Linked DNA regions of Diceros bicornis minor. The protein of the gene in region 1 interacts with the protein of each later gene in a pairwise test. Links are inferred from orthologs where the notes say so. Each region holds a gene or a part of one and is shown in the gene's direction. Other genes may lie near its edges. The genes, in order: DDI1 and CYGB.

Region 1 (11,511 bases):
AAAATGAAAAGTAAAATGTACGTTTGTGTGAGGAGAAAGGAGTTGAGTGAGTGTTATGATACGTCAAGGAAAGGATTGTTCCTCCAAACCCAGGTAGGTAAAATTTAACTACAGCTGTGACCAAATCATTCTTCCCGGCTCCATGCAGTGGCACTTCCTGTAGTGAGCATTCTGCACAGTCCCATCCACTCCCTGTACTCCCCTCCTCCAACAAGTTACTTTTATCTCTTCTAAGCAAGCACAGCATTTTCTTTACACATCTATCATGACTCTTATTTATTTCTGTTACATAAAATAATTCCAAGTGCACGAGTCTTATCTGCCCTGGTCAATATCTCGTTCTTTGAAGGAGGAAAGTGATTCCTATTCATCCTTCTGTCCCCGAGGCCCTTCATCCATTGACTTGCTCATAGGAAGTGGTCATTAAATATTTACCATGAAAAATTATTAACATGTTTCTGAGCTCATCTCCAAATGGTAAAAAACTTAACTAATTATAGAAATATTAAACAAGTCTATAACTTTCCAAATACATATACTTCTGGGCAATTAATGAAACCAAGCCAAGACACTTCCAAAGAATGATATTGCCCTCCACTGATTTCCCACTAGGAATGACAATATAGGAAGGACAAAGTGGAAAACCACAGAAATCACAAGTAAATTAGAACTAAATAAAACAAATACAAACAGTGGTTTCAAACCATAGCAGCATCTTCCTGGCAGCAGTGAGAAGGGACTCATGAAGACTAGGATTTCAGTGCTACTCTTTTATGTGGACTCTTGTCCAGTGGGTAGGTCTGTTGTTATTTTGCCATTCATTCAAACATTTTTGGTTATACATCATGATCAAGACCCTGTGTTAGGAAATTTGGAGGTTTCAAGGTTGAATATGATAAGGCATCTGACATCAAAAAAAACTAATGGAGGAAAAATCTCATGCAAATAGTTTTAATGAAATAAAGATATTATTTCTAAAACAAAAGTATAAGAAAGATTTAATAAAGGTGCTGACTTGCAAACCTCCTTGCATCGTCCTCTAGTTGATATTTTGGTCTAATATACATCATTGTTCTTGGAAGTTTAGGAATTATGCTCAGAAATATATGACTTTTCTACCAACTACCCTAGAAGAGATAGACACCTATAAGAGGTTTAAAAAGTAATACTTTGTTGATTGAATATTAATACCACCTGGAAAGAACCAGCTAATTTTCTCATTTTCAGAATAATATACAATTACCTAAATGTAATGATGAATTCATATAGAACAAGCATTAGTATTCTGACAAAGAAAATTTACGTTGAAGTTATTAAAGTGTAATTGAACTTATGCATAGGTCACATTGGTATTTCTAAACTAGTGGCAGTGATTTTGAAATGAGTTGATTACGTTACTATAAAAGAGTAAACAATAAAAAACGGTTTGAATAATGATCCTCAATCACAGTGGAATTTAAAACATAAGGCCCTATTATCATTACTATTACTATTTTGTGTTACATGGCTATTCTCCACATAACAGGAATGGGAAAATGAAAACATTCGTTTTCTAAGGGACACTGAAAATTAAGAACCAAGTAACTGACAACACACAAAGTCATAAATCGTTTTTATCTTGTTTTTAATTTATTACACTAAATTCATTTAATCTATAAATGTTTCTCTCACAAATTATAAGTAATCTCCAAAACTTCAACAGCAAGGTGTGTGTTTCACACATCAATTTTTATATGATTCGGACATTGGAAGGGCCCATAAGGCACAAAACTGTAGCAGCAAACATTCTTAAAAATAAGCAAATACACACACATGTATATTTAGACTTGGAATATTAGACTTACATATTTTGAAAAAGCCAAAAGTTATCAAGAGATTATACACGTGAATGTATAACCCACGTATGTACAGACTTGGAAAGTATATATTTTGAAAACACCAAAAGATATCAAGAGATTATGTTATTTCCAACACGCCATATATAACGTAAAATGCATCTCTTTTTATGATAAAATGTTAAAACGATAATCTATAAATTAAAGCAATAAACAAAATGCACCATAAAAATATTCCCTGCTGGAAAATGACATAATCTTTTCATTGCACTTTCAAAGTAATTGAAAACATGTCCTGAGTGTGCACTTGCTCGCTCTCTCTCTCCACATGTGAGTGCATGCGTGTGTGTGCATATGGGTCTTCTGTCCATATTCTGTCTCCTTAAGACGAAGAAAAACGGCTAGCTGAGTTGTCAGCAGGTAGATACAGACTAAATTCTCAGGTCTCATAAGCTTCTTCAATTACACATCTGTTTATATATTTGTATGAGAGGTCTTATCATGGCCTTTACGCTTCAAAGACGGGCAATACTAAACCTTTTCATATGGGAAACCTCTAAACATACTAAAAAAGCTTGAACTTTCATTAGAGCATTTTTAATGTGTCTATTAAATAATTAACTATCTGAAGAAATAAATGTTTATTCATTCATGACAGTTCTGGCACAATTTATCATATTTTTATAAAGCAAATGGAAGAACAGTGAGAAAATTAGTTGTTTAATCTATGAACACAGCTTTAAAAAGTCTGCATCTTTCCTAAGCTGCATTGAAAAATATCAAATGATGATTTAAGTATCTTAATAAGTCTCGATTACACTTTATTTTAAACGTAATACCAGGCACATTAGGAAGGAATCCAAACACAGCAAGCTAATATATTTGCTTAATGTGGTTTAATTATTGTATATGCTACATAATGACATCTATGTAGCTACTCTTTTTTCACAGAAAAGCCATTTATTTTGCTCTGTAAAGCAAGAGACAGTATTTTAAACAACAACTGACTATACTAAGTGGGATCATCAATTATATGGATTATTTTTTGCCCCAGTGAGTTTTTATAAAGAGGCAAATTATAAAAACTATTATTGTGGGTTTATTCTAAAAATAACTTTGGGGTTATTTACTTGGCCAGTATGAAATCAATGTCATCTTTTCTATTTTCTGGGTATTTAGGCTATACAATAGAATTGATTTTCTGAGTGATAGCCCTGAGACCTTGCAAGAGTCTCACTTATCAAAGAAAGATTCAATTACGTTCCTATTTTGTACTTACCAAGGAAGAAAAGTAAGGGAATATACTTCACAAAAAACTCAAGAAAAGTTGCAATCACCTTCTGTTACCTAGATTAGCACACCTAGATAATTCTCAGTGGTCTGTGCAGTAAGGAATAATGGCGTAACAACATTTTATATTTAAGAGTATTTATATATGCTCCCAATGAGCCCCAAGTTTATTACATAATCAGAAGAGGTTTTTAATTAAAATATTGAGGTAAGAGAATTACACATATGGTATTTGAATCACCAATAGTCTTAGGTAAAATGAAAGACTCAAACAATATATGAACATTTGTACTAAACAGTCCCAGGAGGCTGTGTTTATCTTTTCAGATTCCAGGCTGTTTCGCAACAGAGGTTTAAGGCGTGGGTGGATGGCTAGACCAGAGAATCCGAAGGACCCCTGCCAATCCTCACATCCTGTGATCTATAGCACCATGACAGTTAATTGGCCAAACTTGGAGGCTTTTTGCTTTCTATGTTCTCAGTAAAGTATAAAATAGTTAAAAGCACATAAATGCAAAATGCCACCAAAAGTAAAGATTTATAGCAAGATAATAAAACATACCACATAAAGCTTAATTATGTTCAGTATCAAGGCAACGGTAATACACAAAAAAAGAGGTTAGTTTCTTTTGATGTGAGCCTTGAATTCTTGCTTTGCCAAAAAAAAAAAAAAAGCTTATTCTACAAAAATAATTTCATCCACTGTTTAAAAAAAACAAAAACCCTAGTATATCTCCCTAATTTATTAAGATTGTAAGAACGAACTGTCCAGAGCTACTTGGGGGAGTGGGGGAAGGAAGATAAATGTAAGCCTCCCTGGCTTCTCATCTATTCTTTAGCAGAGTAGTTTGCATGTGACATGTCTCACATTATAGTTTTTCCCAAACTCAGGAAAAACCATTATTGATCTCTGATGAACTCACCAGGATGCTAAGAACCACAAAAGAAATTTATTAACTTAATATTTTGGGGTCAAAGTGCCATCCATCTCTATAAATAGTAAAAAACAGCTCTAAATAATTCATAATTCTTTACAGTAAAACTACAATGCTACATTTTTTCCCCTAAAATTTTATAAGGTCCTCCATATCATGACATGCTGCCTTTCCAGTTAAAGACTCTCAACTAGGCTATCCTCTTCTCAGCCTTTGTTTCTTCACCCACTCACCCCCACACGGCTGACTTCTTGTCATCTTTTTAAGCCCAACTCTTTTAGGAAGCCCTCCCTGCCCTCCAGCCCTCTCCATCTTCTTTTGTTCTTCAGACATTTCTCCCAAATTGTGTTGGCTTCTGTGGAATTTTTTAACCCCCAATTCGTGTGTGTGTGTGTGTGTGCACGCAGGTGTGTGTGTGTCCTTTTAGACTGTGAGCTCCTTTAAGAACACAGCCTGTACTTAACATTATTCCTGTGTGTATCCCCAGAACATAGTACATGTCTCACACACACTGGGCATTCAGTCAATATTTTCAATATAAATGAACACGGTATGGAAACATTATGATAATTACAGCAATGAGTGAGATATGGTCTTCCATCTGAGACAAACACATGAGAACCAGGAGCCAAAAAAAAAAAAAAATTCTTTAGGCTAATGCAACACCCTTCTCTAAGTAATGGTGCAGGTCTTCTGACAAAACTTGAAATAAAGAGAGGGGATGAGGCAGAGGAGGTTGACTATCTTGGTTCATATGAAAATATGCCTGGGAAGACCAAGCCAGGGAACCGTGAGCTCTTTACAGTGCGTAACACTTGGTGAAATATAAACAACTGGCACTCAAGGATTTCTACCCAGTCACCATCTGCCCTGAAGGACCTCTTTACACTTACTTGGCAAGTCTCCACTCTGAAGTGTGTGTGTGTGTGTGTGTGTTTGTGTCTGTGTGTGTGTGTGTGTGTGTGTGTGAGGGGCTGTGCCCTAGGGCTAGAGAGCGAGGCATATCTGGTCTCCAGGGTGGCATTCATCATACATTTTACTACAGAACTAATGTCAAATTGGTCTCCTCAAAGGTTCATCTCACACATCCATGTAAGGTAATGGCTTATTTTTAACCAATCTCTCATTTTAGAGACTCGCTGTGTTATCCACACATTCTGCTTCTTTTATACTCCCCACATCCAATGGGTAAACACATCCTTTCCATTCTACTCAAGAAACATTTTTCTTCTCTACTGGTTTGGCTTTAGTCTTCCTTATATTTTCAAATTCTAGCAACAGCTCCCTCTTTGAGCCATTGAGAAAGTCTCTACCTGTCTCTCCTGCCACTATATGTCCTCCATATGTCTCAAGAAGCATCTTCCTTAAATCAATTAAATGAAAAAAATAAACATTACAAGTACCTGCTTTAAATCTTTGCCATTTCCTTTCCTTTCTCTTTTTCTTCTCTCCTTTTTTTTTTTTTGAGAAGGGATTTTTGCTTATTGATAATATTTAAATTCCTTGGATTCATATTACTCTTTCTATAAACTGGCTCCAATCAATTTTTCCAGCTTCATATCTTGCCAATCAAATTCATGTACAAATTTCTCCTGTTCCATTGAATGTCTCACTTTTCTCTGGAAATAATAGCCTGTGTCATGAATTCTTGCTTTTGTACATGCAGTTCTTTTTGTCTGGGGTGACTCATCATTTTTCACAGAAAATGCTCATTTGTCAACATCCACTGTGTCTCCTCTTTAGAGAAACGTCCTCTGTTCTGTTGTTTCGCTTAACGTGTCTTTGTAAAAGCACTTACCTCCAGTATTGTGATTTACCCATTTACCATCGGTCCCTCCCTAGAATGTGAGCTCCTCAAGGGTAGGCACCCAGTCTGCCCCATCTTTCATACCAAGCACATAGCATGATAATTGCCATCTAGGAAACAACACTCACTGTTTGGAGAGTAAGTAAAAGTATGTAGGATACCATTCTCAAATGAACAAAATGAATGTTAATATGTTGTTTAGGAAGAGTTGAAATCATCCTTTTCATATGACAGGTTAAATAGGTTTTGAAGGGCTAGCCTTGGAACCTAAAGGACTCGAGTAACTTCGTTTCTATGGGACTGGGCGTTCTAAGTTCCAAACAGCACACATACAAATTAACTTTGGAACACAACATGTTACCTCAAGGTTCCACAGGGCCAGGCAGCAGGCACTGAGGCTGGCAAGCGGCCCCCAGACTGGTGAGCGGCTGTGCTTCCTGGAGAGGTGAATGAACCACAACAAGGCACCAAGTGTTGAGGAGCAACTGAGCCATCAATAAAGACCAGCTCCAGTCAGCCAGTGAAGAATCCATGCCCTCTGCCCATCTGGCCCTCCTAAGCCCATGCCATGCTGGTCACTGTGTACTGCGTGCGGAGGGACCTCTCCGAGGTAACCTTCTCCCTCCAGGTCAGCCCTGACTTGGAGCTCCACAGCTTCCGCGTCCTCTGTGAGCTCGAGTCTGGTGTCCCCGCTGAAGAGATCCAGATCATCTACATGGAGCGACTCCTCGCTGACGACCACTGTTCCCTGGGCTCCTATGGCCTCAAAGATGGCGATGTCGTTGTTTTGCTTCAGAAGGAGTATGTGGGACCTCGGCCTTGTGGACGGACATCAAGCCTGCCTCGGATTGATTTCACCGGGATAGCTGAGCCTGGGACGTCCAGCTCCCGGCAGCAGCACCAGCGTGCACAGTCGGCCCAGAAGTCCCCTGGCCTGGACTCCGGAGAGAAGATGTCTGCTCAAGGTCTGGACAGCCCCACCCTGATCCGAAGCATGCTGCTCTCCAATCCCCACGATCTGTCCCTGCTGAAGGAACGCAACCCCCCCTTAGCGGAAGCCCTGCTCAGCGGAAACCTGGAGACGTTTTCTCAGGTCCTGATGGAGCAGCAAAGGGAAAGGGCCCTGAGAGAGCAAGAGAGGCTTCGCCTCTGTTCTGCTGACCCATTTGATTTGGAAGCTCAGGCCAAAATAGAAGAGGAAATCCGGCAGCAGAACATTGAGGAAAACATGAATATAGCGATGGAAGAGGCTCCAGAGAGTTTCGGGCAAGTGGCCATGCTCTATATTAACTGCAAAGTGAATGGACATCCTTTGAAGGCTTTTGTTGACTCGGGGGCCCAGATGACCATTATGAGCCAAGCTTGCGCCGAGAGATGTAATATAATACGCCTGGTGGATCGACGGTGGGCTGGGATTGCTAAAGGAGTAGGCACGCAGAGGATTATTGGCCGAGTTCATCTAGCTCAGATTCAAATCGAAGGTGATTTCTTACAATGCTCTTTCTCTATCCTCGAGGATCAGCCCATGGACATGCTTCTAGGGCTAGACATGCTCAGGAGACATCAATGTTCCATTGACTTGAAGAAAAACGTGTTGGTGATCGGCACCACTGGCACACAGACTCACTTTCTTCCTGAGGGAGAGTTACCCCTATGTGCTAAGCTGCTAAGTGGTGCTAGGCAAGAAGAGTCTTCAAATAAAGAAGCAGCAGATACTATTAAACATTCAGTCATGGATTCAGGAAGAAAAAAGCATTGAGACAGGTTATAAACATACCACCACTTTGAGGGAGTCTCAGGTCCCAGGAAATTATAAGACATGAGCTCACTGGCAATGTAATCATTAAAAACATCAGTAACAAGTAACCTGGCCTTGGGTCTAAGTTCTCAGATCTGTCACTATGTCAATCGAGATTGCTTGATCTTGGCCCCTCTTCCATTCCCCTTACCCAAAGATCATTGAACCTCATCTTGGGAAGGCTCTGGAGGCTCCAACTGATTTCCAGATAATCCATGAAAGGAAAAGCAGCCTCTTCCTTTAGAAACACTGTCCTATCAGATTATAGGGTGGCTTGCCCAAACCAGTTGCTATTTTGCAGAATTCCCCAGAAAAAGCCGTTGCTGCAGACCCTACAAGACATCTACACAAAACAGTTTCAAGTCAGCACTAACATTTATATTCAGAGAAATGTGTCTATTTTCACAGATTTTGTTTTCTTTGGGAAAAGTACTAAAAATGGTGGGTCAATTATACTCTTGAATTGATTAATGCAGTACTTATAAATGTCTGTTTTCGACATCTTAAGGGCCAATTTCCTCATATTTTAGATCTTTCCTTCCCCTGCACTCCTCTGGAGTCATGCTCACTGCAATCTGCCCCTAAAAACTATTTTTGCCGTATTTGAGAAAATGGATTTTTCTCCTAGTATGTCCTAAAATAATTTCCTCTTTCTCTTGCATTCAAAGAAATCCTGGTTGTAAAACGAAGGCAGTCAAGTAGATTTTTTTCTTTAAATTATGGTGCTTCTTGAAAGCCTCGTGGTTGTATTGTGGTGGGAGTGGGAAGAAGGGGCAGGCAGTGGTCCAGGTCCCCCAATACTCATTTCAACTAGATCATCTCCTTTTTTTGAAAAAAAAGAAAAAAATCTGCTTTATATATTAAGCTGCTACATAAATATTGTTTGAACAGAGGGTTTCACTGTTAAAATAACATTGGAAACTTCTCCAAGAGAAGATCTCTAAGGCCTCATTCATGCCTTAGAGACCCACTCCAACAAAGCTACTCTCCATTACTACTGATAGTGTGAAATAGAAGATCCTAGACTTAATTACAACCTATGTAAAACACCTGAGACAAAAGGTCCAGCTGCCTGAGGAAATCAGAGTCAGAGAACATGTTTCAGGGCAATAATCTGTCAAGACTGGTATTAGAAAGAACAGTAGATTCAAAGTCAAGAAATGTATGTTCTGATTCTAGCTCTAAATTACTTAGGCAAATCAGTTCATATATTATACAACTTAGATTTCTCATCTATAAATTGTTTCAGAGGGGAGAGCTATTTTCAGCTACTAAGACTACATTGTGATCTAGGATATCCCACAGAAAAAAGAAAAAATCCTCCCCTATAATCACCATATCCCTTTCTTGGTCTGCTTCTTGGAGAGACTAATCATCTTCTTTCTAAAGAGAGTCACCTCTTCCCCTCCAGCCATCATCAGTTCACCTCCCAATTCTCTTCTTCCTTACAGGTGTTCCTATGCTTGCATTCCTCAACCTTGTCTACACTTGCACCAAGGCTTACACCCAGTAGAGCTGCTATAAATGACCAATGGACAGACCTCTTTTCCACTTTTCTTTCTAATTAAGTACTCAGGACAAATGTAGTTAACAAAATGAAAGAAGAAATTCAGACTAAAGCCAGGGAAAAGCAATTAAATGCCTGGGATTAGAGAACTGACTGATAAATGCATGGATTCCTTCACAGATAAAAATATGCAAACTCCTCAGCATCTTCTACTGGACTCAATTTTAAGGCCCATTTATGCAAAACACATCTTATTTGCATATGTCACATAAAAGTTTAGTATGTGGCTTAACAAGATATCTAACCCATAAAAGCCACTCTAAAAATCACTGAATCTTTAAACTAAAAGACAATTTGCACAATATCAAATCTGACCATACACACTCTCCCGTCTCAGAAGAACATCTGTTCTAAGGTAGCTATAATGTTTTAAGACCAGTCTCAGGTATAACTCTTTTTTCTTATTTTGAGCTGAACTCTATTATTCCATAACTTCCAATAAATGTCTTCACTCTTCCTTCCGCCAAGAACACGTTTAATTTCTCTGGCATGAGTCAATCCTTTTAATATATGAAATCGATGTCATCTTAAATATTCTCTTTTATAGGCTTTAACCAAATTCTTTAACTGTTCCTCATAGGATAAGTTTGGAATCACCTAAAAATTTCTGTCATATTCCTTTGGACATATTCCAGCTTATAAAAATATTACTTGAGTGAAAAGCTTGGGAAATTAAAAACAATTTTATTGAATTGAAGAACAATGATTTCAAAGAAAAATCAATAAACAGTAAATTAATTAAGCAATGCCCTTACTGATTAATATTTTAAGGTCATTGTATCTCATATCAGAAAGTACTTTAAAAATTAGTTTCATGGATTTAAAGTCTTAACTCAATCCTGTGTATACCTGAATAGATCCTAATCAATTAAATTTTAAATGGATTAGGTTTAGTAAAAGGCAATATCTTTTGTATGTCCGCTATGTAAATCAGATGCTATACAAGGTACATATATTACTGCTATTAATCCTCAGAATAGACCCTCAAAGTAGCTATCATTAACTCCATTTTATAGATGGGAAATTCAGAGCTCAGAATTACTAGGAAACATTCAAATATTCAAAGCTTAGTGTTTTTAAAATTTTTTCTTGACAACAATCTACATTTTAGATTGTGAACCATTTTCATATCACACACACAAACACATGCACATACACAAGTCTGTCTGTCTCTGAAACAAAAAGCATTGAAAACAAAAACATTGAAATAATATGAAATGTTTTATCCTTCCTGGTCTAGTACTTTGAAAAATTATATTTTATTATTTAAAAAATATAATAGGCAGGTCCCACTAATTGTATCCCACCAAGGTATCCTGATCCACAATTAGAAAAACACTGACTGACCTACCAGATTGCTGAATTCAAGTCTTTCTGATTTCAAGTTCTTTCCACTATGTAACCTCTTTACCTGACACATTTTAATCCTAGGTACCAGTTCAAAATTGTTATAAAATTTCATTAACTTGAATGCTTGCTCTTATCGGTGATTAAGCTGTGTACTGATGATGGAGAGTTTGGTCACAAGTTTTCATAAAAGGGGGGAGGCTTTAGTGTTCAGGATCCCCTCCTTTGTTTAAAGGAATGTTTTCCTAATGCCAATAAATGGCCCAACTACTTGTAAGAGCAAAAAAAAAATAACTATAGCAACTACCAAAACAGTACCATTAAAAATGACAACAGAGTAGCAGTAAGCAGAACACACTCAACAATTATTTATTGAACACCCATGAAATAAGCACTGAGCCAAGTTTTTATATACAAGGAAATGAATTAAGTTACAGTTCCAGATCTCAAGGTGAGTACAATCCAGTAGGGGTAGGACAAAGACTTGTAACCACCTAAGAACAAAACAGGTGGACACGGAATTATTAATAAGTTGGTACAAATGAAGGAATGAATTTTAATTTAAGATTATTTTTAAAATAAGAAATAAGTAAGCCAGTAAAATGCACTTTCAATATGTCTAAAATGACCAACACTGATGCTGGAAAACAAACAAACTTACTCTTCTCTTAAAGCTCAGGTTGCTAACATACAACTTACAATATCTACTGCTGGGAATTATCTACTATCGGGATTTACTACCTGGAAAATGATGAACAAATCTTCATTTTCTTTTTTCTCATTAGAAATCATGATAAAGTAGAGCCCATGATGAAATAGACCTAACCTATTTAAAATAACAAGCCATTTTAAAAATCCATTAAACCTTGGTTTCACCTAATGCCCATTTAAACACTCAACATGCCTAAAAGAAAATTACTGTTGTTGATAAG
Region 2 (12,720 bases), on another chromosome or scaffold:
GCTTGGACATGGTTCCAGCACAGAGCTCCTTCCCCTGGTGCGACCCTTCCCCTGCCTCCGCCCTGCCCTACTTTGAGAGGCTCCCACGGAACTGCCAGGCTCCCTGCGGGATCAGCAGCCCCTCCCCATGGCTTCAGAGTGGGTTCCCTCGATCTGCATCTCACCCTTTCCTTCCTTCCCTCAGACGTGGAGTGGTGGCTGAGGTGCTGCTGTCTAGAGAATTCCTCCATCTCCTGCTTCCTGAAAGTCAGGGGCAGGGGCCAGCCAGGCAGAGACCTCGCCGCTGAGTGGGTAGAGCGGGCTGGAAGGGGAGGAGAGATGCACGCGCATGTGGGGATGAGGGCTCTGGAAGATGAATGACTGTGAGACAGTCAGGAGCAGCTGCCTGCAGGGTCTGCGCCTGGATCTCAGGGAGCAGAAGCGGAAATCTGCTTTTATCTCTGCTCAGGATCGGGCAGGATTGTAAAGAGAGAGAAATGGCAGAGCAGCTGGGGGCAAAAGAGGCTGCGCCGCCACCGCCACCGTTACTGAGCAGTCAGCAGACTGACAAAAACAAGCGTCATGCTTTTTCCCTTCCCACATGCTACTGCCTATTTGGAACACACGCACGCACGCACATACACACAGAAAACACAGGACAAGCTGTGGGTTGCTTCCATCCAGCCGCAGGCAGACATGTCACAGATCCAACTGGCATTTCTTATTGATAATTTCAGCAGAGCAGCCAGTGACAGAGTGAGCTCTGGGGACGAGGGTGGGGGAGGTAGATGCCACAGGAAGTGTGTGCCAGCATGGCAAGCGGTCTGACTCCACACTGCCCGGACCACAGCTGAGGTTTAACAGTACAGCTCCTGAGCTGTCAGAGACAGGCGGCCAAGCCAGTGAAACCCCTTCTCTCACCTGCAAACTTCCAGGTGGTTTCAGGGTAAGAACAAGGGCTCTGCAGCCTCCATATGAGCCTGGGGTCCCCCACTTACTAGCTACGTGACGCTGGGCAAGTTAGTTAACCTCTGTCTCTGTTTCTCCTTTCTAAAATGTGGGTAATATGCCCCGTCTCTGGGGTTATTGTGAGGATTAAATTAGAGAATGAATGGGAAGTCCCTCCTTAGTCAACATGAGCTGCCCCTCGATTCTGGAGTCCCCTCACCCAGGTTTGTTCCTACCCCAGCCTGGCTGATGGGCTGCCCCAGAGTTAACCAGGTGCACCCCACCGAGTCCCTCTCTCTGGGCCTGCCTCAGATGAGCCTCAAGAACTCAGAGGATGGCAGCCCATCCCAGAGCAATGAGCATCTCTGCCCCTCCTGGCCAGGCCTTGCCTCAGGAGCCCCACAGCCAGGGCTTGGGGAGAAGTGAGGACTGGCAGGTCCAGGGGCTGAGGTTAGGAAAGTACCTTCTCGATTGCTGCTTTTCCCATTCTCCCTCTTGCTGCTGCCTCTTCCACCACAGCATCTTTCTGGGATAGGGGGAAAACTAGTACTTGAGCTGAAACAGAAAACCAGACCAGATCGGCACTTTCTCCCATGCCAAGGTAGGGGCTGGTATTGCAGAGTGGACATTCCAGAACACCACCTCTCCTTTGGAAGTCTTCTAGCACTGCCTCGGGCCCCCAGAATGACCACCACTTCATCCCCAAGTCTAGAAAATGCTATAAAGATCACACGTGGTGCTCCTAAAACTCACCCTGGTCCTGAGGCCTGGAACAGAACAGGCTCAAGGCAGGAGCTCATGGAAGGAGTCCACCTCCCTCTCCTAACCTCTGTCCATGACCACAGAGCTGAAGACAGCCTGCTTTGCTCCCACGTGGCCAGGCCTTGCATATTCTTCCTTCTTTGTCCCCAGCTCTGCCCTCTGCCCTCCAGGGCTCACGGCCTGGCCCTACCTGCCTTGGCCAGCTGATTCCCATCTTTGGGCTGAGCTCCGCCTGAAGAGGTGACGGCTTATTTCAGAGTGTCTTTCTCCCTAAACAGAGAAATGCACAAGAGTCAGAGGATTGGAGGGGATGACCTTCCTGTATTTCCGGACTTCTTCCTCCCACCCCATGCCTAGCAGTTCACCCCACTACTGACAGGCAGGAACACCCAAGAAACCATACAGTTGGAATTTCTGACTGTGGAATTAGCAGAATTTTCACCCCTACCCCCACCCTGGGCCAGCCTTCCGTGGCAGCCGCCATCAGCAGGAGATGTGAGATGTTAGGCCAGTTCTTTGGGTTAACTGGGTTCCAAGGAGTTAATAGGCATCTGCTTCCTTCTGGCTAGGCCATACCAGGCCAGGCCTGGCCAGATGGTCCCAGATTCGGCCTTTCCTCTCCTGACAGGAGGTCCAGGCCCATTTCACCTAGAGGAGATGGACTGCCTGGAATCAGGGGCCTGTCAGTCCCATAACAGCCACAAACCGGATGGATGACCTTGAGCAAGAAATTTACGTCTCCCTGTCCCTCAGTATCCTCCACCATTAATAAGAGATAGAAACACTTGTCCTGGGGCCAGCCCCATGGCTTAGCGGTTAAGTGCTCTCTTAGCGGTTAAGTGCTCGCAATCCCTACTGGCGGCCCGGGTTCAGATCCTGGGCGCACACCGACGCACCGCTTGTCCGGCCATGCTGAGGCAGCGTCCCACACAGCAACTAGAAGGATATGCAACTATGACATACAACTATCTACTGGGGCTTTGGGGAGAAACAGGGAAAAAAAGGAGGAGGATTGGCAATAGATGTTAGCTCAGGGCCGGTCTTCCTCAGCAAAATGAGGAGGATTGGCGTGGATGTTAGCTCAGGGCTGATCTTCCTCACAAAAAAAAACAAAGAAACACTTATCCTGCCAACCTTCTGAGGCTATTGCGACTTCCCAGTGAGTTAATATATGAGAAACATCTGGGGGTGAATAAAGACTGATCATGTGTCAGATTCCAACGGGAGAACTCGCCTGCACTGAGCAGTTGCTCTGTGCCCAGTGCTTACAACCATTCTCTCATTTAAACCTCACAGACACCTCACAACCACTCTATTATTAATCCCAGTTTAATACAAGTAAATAGATTACATGATTTGCCCCAAGTCTCTCAGTTAGTAAGAGGGGAGCCAGGATTTAAACACTGGCTGCCCAACTCTAGATCCAAACTCAACAGTGAGGACCAGTGAGCATTTGAGGGCCTCCTCTGTGGGAGGCCTAGTGATGATCATTTTGTATATGCCAGCCCATTTCACCAATAGTAGTCATTAGGCACTTTTGTGACCATCTCAGCTAGCCTAAATGTGGAGGAAGGGCATGACAGAAATGCCTCTGTTCCCCGCACATGCCCACCGCTTCCCCGTGGGCCTTCTGACATTCGGAACCTGGTGGACCCCGGACTTGGCCCCTGAGAAATCAGGGGCCAAGACACAGAGAAAGCCTCAGCTTCTCTCAGCTCACCAGGTCTCCACATAGCTAAGGGCCATATCGCAGGCAGGTTCCACACCCTGAAAGAGACATGGGAGTGCACGGGCATGCATGCATGCTGACTGTCTCAGCCTTCTGAGCCCGGAGACACCCTCCTTCCAGGGGCCCTGCAGCCCGAGGGTGTCACACTCTGTTTCACTAGGAGCGAGAGAAGCAGTGCCAGGGGACTAGTAGACGCTCCCACAGGAGAGAATGTCACTCTTCAGATAGGGCTCCGGCAGTAGGTGGGTCCGTAGGCACAAAAGAACATTTCAAACAGTATGTTCTTAATAAATATTTGTTGATTTTTCAGTGTTTTTTGAGGCATAAGAGCCCCTATCATCAAAGGACACTGGTCATCCAGGGAAAGAAAAGTCTGGAAGTTCCCAAAACTTCACCCCTTGTAAAGGCCACATGGCTTCAGCCTAGGGAAGAGTTAACTTTCTGGCTGCTGGAGACAGTGTCCTGCCCCAGGGGCTGCCCAGCCAATGGCGCTCAGAGCCGATGATGTCATGCTCCTCCTGCGCCTCCTATTGGGGACTGGACAGCGAATCCCGCTGGAGGCTCAGGCAGTGGAGCCGCTGAGGCTGGGCGGAGACAGCGAGAGAGGGACGGGGGAGGGAAGGCGAGCAAAGCAACGCTGAGCTGCGTCTGCCTCATCCCTCTCTCCACTGCCCCTGCACCTTCTGACAGAAGGAACCTTGGGGACCACCCTGCACCTGGACAAGCAAAGCAGAGCAGCTTTGGTCCAGAGAGGCTGGGGGCTCCCATTCCCAACTGGAGAACACAGTCAGCCTGCCCACCAGGCATACAGGGAACAGCGTGGCTGGGGCGAGGGCTAGCATACAGCACACACACACCCCTGCTCATCACGGACAGGGCCAGGGGACAGCGGCAGCCTCTTTGGTAGCACCCTCCCTCCTCCACCCCAGACTCGCCTCTGCCTTACCTGCCTGAGGACTGGAGGTCTCTTTCCAAGCTGCTGCCCCTAACTGCCTCCTTCACTCCACTGGGCTCTCTGTGGGAGGGAAGAACAGGCAGGAAGAACTGTGGGCAGTGCCCAGACCCCAAATCCCCTCTCCTGCTTTTTGGCAAGACCTAGCCACATTGGGCTATGGGACTGGAGACTGCAGCCAGTGTCTTTGAAGAGCTCCAAGTTCCCCCTACTCTGTGGGGGAGCCCCTCAGGGATTCCTTGCAAATCCCTCCCAGCCTCCCTGGAGGTCCAGGCAGCGCCTGCCCACCTTCAGCTCTGCTGTAGCCCAGCCTAGTAGTTCTCCCCCAACCCCAGCCCATGGCCTAGTCAGTTTCTCACGGTTGGACCCGGTTGGCGAATCTGCGGCGCCAGAGCATGGCCAAGGTGCTAAGCAGGAAGAGGGTGGTGCACATGGCTCAGCTGCCCCATCCCCTCCCAGACCAAGTCTGCAGAAGAAGGCCAAAATGGCCCCTGCCAGCTCTCCCAAGCCACTACTGTGTGTCCTGAGGTTCCTGCTGGCAGTGGATTAGGAGGCTCAAGCTGATTAGTGGGGTCAGCAGACCTGACCTTGTGAAGACTGATTAACCTCACTGGGCCCAGGTTGTCCTCCTCTGTGGCAGGGTAAATCAACCTCAGTCTATTCTGGATGTAGATATGGCTAAGACCTGAGCCTGGCCCTTAGGGGGCTTATAGTCTAGACAAGTGCACTGGCAAGTTAAAGGGATGACCACAATAGAGTGACTGAGGCAATTAAAGGCACCTGCAGAGCACTTTGGGCATTGCAAGCATCAGCGGAACCTTCAAAGAGGAGCTGGGGGCATCTGAATTTGCAGCTGCTCAAAGGAGGCTGGGTGGTCAGACAGAAGACTCTGCCAGGGCTGCAGACAGCAGGGCATGTTCCAGCAACTGGAAGTTGAGTGGCAGCAGAGCAATGATGTCACAGGAGGCATGGGGGGTGGGGAGGAGGACAGGGGAAGAATATTAGCTGATGAAGCCAGAAAGACAAGGGAGGCCAGGGAGTAAAAGGATGGCTAAGTTCAGATCTATACTCTGGACATTTCTCTCCAAATGTTTCTGATTACACACCCTCTTCAGTAAAAGTCACTCATGAAATAGATATATGCATCCACTTGTAAATATGTACTGTACTAATGTGAAAATACAGTCCTGCACCATAGACATACATAAACCTGGTAAAGGATGAGATGAAAGTAAATAGAAATAAGATTTCTGCTACTTTCCACATCCCAGTGGAACCTCTTGGGCAGCAATTTGGAAGGCCACTGCACTGGCTTTGGGAAACTATCAGAGGAGTTTTGTGAAGTGGCCCAGCACGGTGTGTTCAGTCTTGGCCCAGGCGGCAATAGCAGCCGGGGACAAGCACGAGGACATGGGTCTGAGAGTGATGTAAGAAACTGAACCCACCCACTGTCCTCCATGCCCCCTCAAGACTCCCAGAAGAAGGCATTAGATTTTCCTGCCCTCAGCTAAGATGGAGGCAGTGTCAAGAGGCCTTCTGCCCAGGATTCCAGTAAGGAACCTGAACCCCGAGCTCCAGGGAGGGCCTGCGCTGGGGCTCTCTACTTTGAAATGTGATTTTTAAAATAAACACATAAACCAAAGCTGAAGAGGAGGGCCAACCTCTTGGAGAACTTGAGCAGAGGGACACAAAGTCTTGAGAAGGGCAGGGTCACCAGGGAGCCTTAGTGAGAACTGGACACACCCACATGTTCCAGATGCTGCAGCCCTGGTCCAGCATCAGGCTTCACTGGGAGGCAGAGGTGGCACTGGGCTTTCCCAGTACTGCGCAGCTGCTTGCAGAGCGGGAACCTTGTGGCTCTCAGAGGCATAGTCCCCACCTCTGGTCCTATCCCGCTGACACCTCTCTGAGCAGGGCCACTAGGACAAGAATTTGTCTCCTCCATCCCCAGAACCCCTCCCTAATCGGGGCCTTGGTGATTGAGATGTCTCCAGCGGCCTGGGCCTCCCCCAGACTTCTTGACCCTCCCAGGTCCGCTTTGCCCTGCCCGGCTGCCTCCTTTGGACTTTGCTTCACCAGGGCCAGAATTTCGGGGCAGCGCCTGTTTTTTGCCTGCCCGTGTCGTTAATAAGCCACCCGGGGACTTCTTTCCGACGCCATGTGCGTGCACCGAGCGGGAAGGGGTGCTGGCCGGAAGGAAAGGGGGGCGCAGGCCTCTGGCGCTCAAGTTCGACTCTCCCATCCTCTCAGCGGTGGGTTCTAGTAAGGTACTGGAACAGGGACACTCCAGGAGAGAGACGACCCCAGTCCTAAACTCTCCAGAGCCTGGGGTCCAGAACTCTGGGAGCGGCGCCGCGGCCCCCAGCGGCTGGCTCCGGGGAGACGGAGAGCGAGCGGGAGCTCCGCTCGGACCGCGGCGCCGCTGGAGGGGCTCGCGGCCGCCCCCTCGGGCGGGCGGCCACGCCGCAGATGCCTGGGAGTGTTTGACTTTGAGTCAGTTCCCCGCCGCGTGAAGGGTGCACACACGCACACGCCCCGACACTGCCCGCAGCGTGAGCCTGGACACGGTGCCCCCAGATTCGCACCCGCCGGGGCGCACTCCTGTGCGGCCCGCGCCGCCCCGCTCCGCGTGACAGCCCCCTCCTCCCGAGACCCCCCAGGACACCCGCCACACCTACGCCCCAGCCCCGCCCGGCGCTCAAACTCCGCGGTGGCCTTGCGGGTGGGCGGGCGCCAGCCGCGTCGCCCCCACCCCGCCCAGTCTTCACCTTGCCAGAATTGGCTCACGGACGCGGGGTTGGGGGTTTGGAGCGGATTTATTTTTTTTAACATTTTTCCAGCAGACCACATCCCCGCCCCCCGCTCGCGGTCCCCCGCCCCCCGGCACATATACCCTGCACACACACACACACACACACACACACACACACACACACACCCGGCGCGCACAGACAGACACGCTCCCTCCCTCCGGCGCGCTCTACCCCTCGCTCGCCCGCCCGCCCGCCGCGCACGCAGCCGGCCCCGGCTCCTCGCGCCCCGCGCTCCGCGCCCCGCCGCCGCCGAGCGAAGCCGGGCTGGGCTTGGAGCTGCTCATGGAGAAAGTGCCGGGCGAGATGGAGATTGAGCGCAGGGAGCGGAGCGAGGAGCTGTCCGAGGCGGAGAGGAAGGCGGTGCAGGCTACGTGGGCCCGGCTCTATGCCAACTGCGAGGACGTGGGGGTGGCCATCCTGGTAAGGTAGGTGTCGCCCCGGCTTAGCCGGGCCCGGGGGAGGGAGGGCGGCAGCGGCTCCGGGCAGGGGCGGGCTCGGCCCCATCCGAGCTCCGGCGCCACCTCCTCAGCTGTGATTGGGGCCGGGCTGGCAGGGGTGCAGGCAGCGTGGGGCGCCTTCGGGTGGGCGAAACCCTAGCTGAGCCCTTCCTAGCTCTGGGCGCGGGGCTCACCAGGAACTAGGAGCCAGACGCAAAAGGAAGGCACCTCCGTCCCCCTCCTCTCCTCGGCCTTAGAACTCTGAGCTCAGGCAGCCATGCCTTCCCCACCAGCGACCCCAGCCAAGCTGTTATGGACACACATTTTACCAGCCCTTCACATGGGGGCAGTGGGGGTTCCCCATTTTAGAGACAGGAAAACTGAGGCTCAGCCAAGAAGGCGGACAAAGAGGAGCAGACCCCTCTCTCCAGCTCAGCCTCTTTCCGTATTCAAAGCCCCTTGGAAGAACAGAGCAAAGGGGGAGAGAATGGAGGTCAGAAGGAGTAGATGGCTGAGGTCCAGTTTCCCACCTGGCCGCTTCCTGCCCCAAGGGGGTGGACCAGCAGGGTGCTCCCAAGCCGGGCACAGGTGAGTGGAGAAGCAAACAGTCCCTAGGATACAATCTGTGCTGAGTTTGGTGGAGGGAAAGGGAGATGCTTCAGGAGACAGGGCTCCACCCTGAAAGCCCCACCTGGAGACGAAAGGACATGTGTCTTGGGCTCAGGGGTCATTCAGGCACCAGATGCCCCCAAGAGACGCACACACACATTGTTATTCACACCTGCACACTGGTGCACGTATACCATTCCTATGTAGTTAATGTCACCAAGCCCCACAAGCTAGTAGCTGACTAGAGCTACAGATCCATGCTCTCTTCCCACACGTGCTGGTCCCTGGGGGTGCAGGCAGAGAGGCCCCAGACCACACTCACTCTCAACCCCTTGTCCTTGGTGGAGGGAAGCTGTCAAATCTAGGACAGAGCAGGGCAATCTTACTATCTGAAGACAGGGTGAAACCTCGCTTGTGGAAAGGACAGCTGAAGTGCATGCGTGTCTCCCAGGCCTGGCCCGTCTCTGGCTCCTCTTTCTCCCCGGTACTCTCTCTCCCTTTTACCCAGCTCCGTATTGATATGCCCTGATTCTAACTTAGAAACAGATTTTGGAGGAAAAAGAGCAAGAAGCAGTCTTGAGGATTTTGAGGAGGATTCCTGAGGAAGGGGCAGCTATTTCCACAGCTCCCAGGCCCAGAAACACAGCCAGGGATGATGGGGAAGCTAAGAGGGGATTTCAGATCCCGAAGCCATCAGACATTCGGAGACGCAGATCTGCACGTGCGAGCACCCACACAAGCTCACGGTGGGTAGTGGAGTCACGGATGCGCCAGACTGCATCCCTGGAGGGCTGTTCTCAGCTGTGTGTCGGCACACACGGGCCCACCAGGCCTCGGGATACACCAGGGTGCACACACAGGTCGCCAAGAGGAAATGAAGCAGAGTCCACAGACCTGGGAGATTTTCCGTCCCAACCCCTGTCGTTTGCCAATGAGGACATGTAGGGGATGTGTCCAAGATCCAGCTCCTGGGGCACCCCCCAACCTCCCCAGGAATGGGGGTTACAAAGGAAGGACCTGAACACCGAGGGCAGAGCCATTTCTGGAGAGTCTGAGCTTTCGGCAGGTTTTCCTTCTCTCTCTGTGCCCCTCTGGCTCCCCTTTCCTGACTCTTAGAAGGGGCTGGGTGTGGGCTGGGGGAGGCATTGGGCCTGAGATATCAATTAGATCTGGCTAGCTGATAACCTCACACTTCACCTGACCCCACCTCTGTGTTGGCCGAGCCCAGCCCAGCCCAGCGAGGGAGAACCCGGCCCACAGCTGCTTCTCCCTGCCAGCCCCAAGTCCCACCAGCCTTCCTTTCCTCTTTCTCCTCCTCCTGCTGTCTGTCCCAGGACCTGGCCAGTTGGGACGGGGGGTGTTAAAGCAGGGGTAAGGGAAGGACAGATAAGCTTCTCAGGTCCTCTGCCCCTCAGTTTTGTCACGACTCCCTCCTATCCTCACACACATCCACAAGGACAGGCCTGAGACACAAGCCCTCTGACTCTTACCTCCTCCCTCCCCGCTGGGCTCATGCCAGCCTCACCCCCCCCCACACACACACACAGTGAGGAGTTAGCAGCCACAACGGTGGTAGTGCTGGTGGAGGAGCTGCCTCTGGGTCTGAGCCAGACCCCACACCTCTACTTCCTGTCAGGGAGGAGACCGAGAGGGAACACCCATGCTGGAGGAAGGCTCCCTTCCCAGTTGTAACTCTGCTGCCTTCCCCCTCACACACAGACAAGCCTATTTCAGACTCTCCTGGAAGCCCACATGCCTCTGGGAGCTTAGGAACTCCAGGGCTGGCTGCTGAGGCTTCTCCCTGGCAACACAGGCCTGGCCTGGGAGGGTCAGGAGTAAACATGGAGGGGCTGGGAGAGAAGCCAGGATGAAAGAGCAGATCACATGGCCCCTAGACTCCCCTGGTCCAGAAGAGGGGCTTCCTGGGCCTGTCATTCCTCAGCACCATGACCCGGCACTGGTGTTGGGGCAGGAGACTCACTGGCGGGAAGCCGGCAGAGCAAGGACGGTCTGGGCTCCTTCCTGGCCCCACCACCTACTGTGCTAGGCAACCTTGGGCATCGACTCCTAATCCAGAATGCAGAGATAAAGCAGTGCCAACCTTAGGAGAGTATTGTGAGGATGAATGAGATCACATACTAAGTGCTCAGTAAGTATTCCCAGTTCTTCCCTCACCAGTACAATGGATATAGTACCTGCTTAGTCGTGGCAATTACATGAAATAACAGGTAGAGATGCTCTGCGCATTTTAACGCACCAGGCAAGTAGAAATCAGTATTTTTACTGCAGTGTAAAACCCCTGAAGTCTGAGATCCTCATTTAAGTCCAGATTGGGTTTCTCACATTTGTCCTTCATTACAGTGCTTCTCCAGAAAATCCAGTGTATTTTCAGACTCATCACCTCATTTGTCCTCACCAGTATACCTGTGAAATAGCGAGCGGGAGGGACTTCTCTCGCACTTCAGCAGACAGGAGGCTGTGAAGTGGTTTGCAGAGGAGGTCACACTGGGCCTCCTAGAGGGGCCCTCCCGGGTCTCCACACGCACTGTGTCCTGGTCGCACCCCCCTGCCAGCAACAGCTTCATCACCCAAAGGCATGGCCTGGGCCAGATGCTCTTTCTGCATCTGTTCCAGCTCTCAGATCTGAGACTCGAATGCTGGCCAAGGGGCTGTTTTGGCAAATTATCAGCTCTCTCTGGTATCACAAAGGGGGTCACTCCAAAGGTGTGAAACAACCTGAAAAAACAGGTCCAAGACACTTCATACATTTTCTGAGGCTTCAGTTAAGTTCGGTAAGTTCTGATTGAGTCTGTGTGGACCTTCCGTGACATCCAGCCCCGGCTGGGAGAGGGAGTGCAAATGTCATCAACGTCATCCTGCAGACTGCAGGGCCCTGGGCCGGGGTGATGGGTCAGAGGGTGCGGGGGCTCTGCTGGGTCTCACAACCAGTCCGACAGGCAGAAGGGGAGGAAGCAGTAAATGGTGGCAGGGAACCCACTAACGGCCTTCGAGGGAAAGCAGTAGCCCTGGGCCAGCTTGGGCGCTCAGGGAGAGGCAAGGCTGACACGGGGAAGAGTGAGGAAGGCATTCCACCATGTGGAAGGGAAGGCTGGCACGCCCGAGGAATGTTTTGCCAATGGTGAGTGAGGCTGTTGTGCTGGAGCGAGATGGGTTGAGTGTAGGGGAGAGTGTGGACCTGAGGTTGGAGAAGTGGGTGTGGGACAGTTTGTAAGAGGCCTGGACTCCCAGGTTCAGGAGTTTTGACTTTGACGTAGACAATGGGGAGCACCTGAATGTTCGTGAGAGAGTGACCTAATGAAAGTGATATTTTGGGGGAATTAGACAGTTTCAGATAAACTGGAGAGGGGAGGAGTAGAGCTAGAAAGACCAGGGTCTGCCCCAAGAAGTGCACAGACTTGTTCAAGAGGTGAGATATACAGTAGGTAAAATCAATCGAGATCTTTAATTAAATGAACCGCTCCATAGTTGCTGTGGGCTGAGGAGGGAAGCAGGGTAGTGAAGAGGGAAGAGACTGAGCTGGGAGAAGGACTGAGGCTCATTTCTTCCCTTCCTTGGCTGGGTGACCGTTACTTTGTTTCTAAAGAGAGCTCTAACTGTATCATAATAAAGGGCGGCATTTACTGAGCCGGCATGTCCACACTGTGCTGAGACCTCCACGTGCAGTTTTTCATTTACTCCTTGCAACAAGCCACAACGACTCACAACAAGATAGGAACAATGATGCCATTTCATGGATAGGAAACTGAGGCTCAGAAAAGTTAAATAACTTGCCCAAGGTCACACACCGCCACGCCCGGACCCCGTGATTCCAGAACTGACGCTCTTACCCTCTGGGCTGTGACTGGAGCAGGGCTTGAAGGGTGTGTCCGGCTTGGAAAGGAGGCAAGAAGCAAGGAAGGCAGAGGCCTGGGAGACAAAGCTGCCAGCCTGAGCAAGTCTGGCGGATAGAAAGGGCTGGGACCTGGGGAGGGGGCTGTTGTAAGCCAGCTTGGCCAGAAGGAGGGTCTGCATTTGAGGGACAGTTACACAAGGTGGTGAAAACAATTATTGGGTTGTGGGGGTGGGGCTGGGTCCTGCCTCTCCCACCTCCGAACCCCCTATCGTCCTGGCCACTTCAGGGTGGGGCCCAAGGCAGCCCCCTGCTTCAGCTCCGCTGCCTCCCTCCTGCCAGGTTCTTTGTGAACTTCCCATCGGCCAAGCAGTACTTCAGCCAGTTCAAACACATGGAGGAGCCCCTGGAAATGGAGCGGAGCCCCCAGCTGCGGAAGCACGCCTGCCGGGTCATGGGGGCCCTCAACACTGTCGTGGAGAACCTGCACGACCCCGAGAAAGTGTCCTCTGTGCTCGCCCTCGTGGGCAAAGCCCACGCTCTCAAGCACAAGGTGGAGCCCGTGTACTTCAAGGTATGTCACCGGTGGGTGCCGCCACCTCACCACCCACCCACTCCGCTCCAGAGCCCCCCAGCCCACG

Evidence for each region.
Region 2: the proteins of DDI1 (region 1) and CYGB interact in binary tests that used the Homo sapiens proteins (3 or more experiments, as listed by UniProt). The two-hybrid records come from large-scale screens. The link is inferred for Diceros bicornis minor from reciprocal best matches to the Homo sapiens genes DDI1 and CYGB.

Annotation. Positions count from the first base shown.
Region 1 is NC_080746.1:31,214,403-31,225,913, reverse strand, and holds DDI1 (protein DDI1 homolog 1), read left to right. Parts: upstream 1-6,435; coding exon 6,436-7,626; downstream 7,627-11,511. UniProt on the Homo sapiens protein: Probable aspartic protease. Seems to act as a proteasomal shuttle which links the proteasome and replication fork proteins like RTF2. Required, with DDI2, for cellular survival following replication stress.
Region 2 is NC_080757.1:56,812,183-56,824,902, reverse strand, and holds the start of CYGB (cytoglobin), read left to right. Parts: upstream 1-7,336; 5' UTR 7,337-7,465; coding exon 7,466-7,608; intron 7,609-12,421; coding exon 12,422-12,653; intron 12,654-12,720. Other genes in the region: photoreceptor disk component PRCD, read right to left, coding at 3,981-4,002, 4,365-4,433, 4,730-4,803. UniProt on the Homo sapiens protein: Probable multifunctional globin with a hexacoordinated heme iron required for the catalysis of various reactions depending on redox condition of the cell as well as oxygen availability.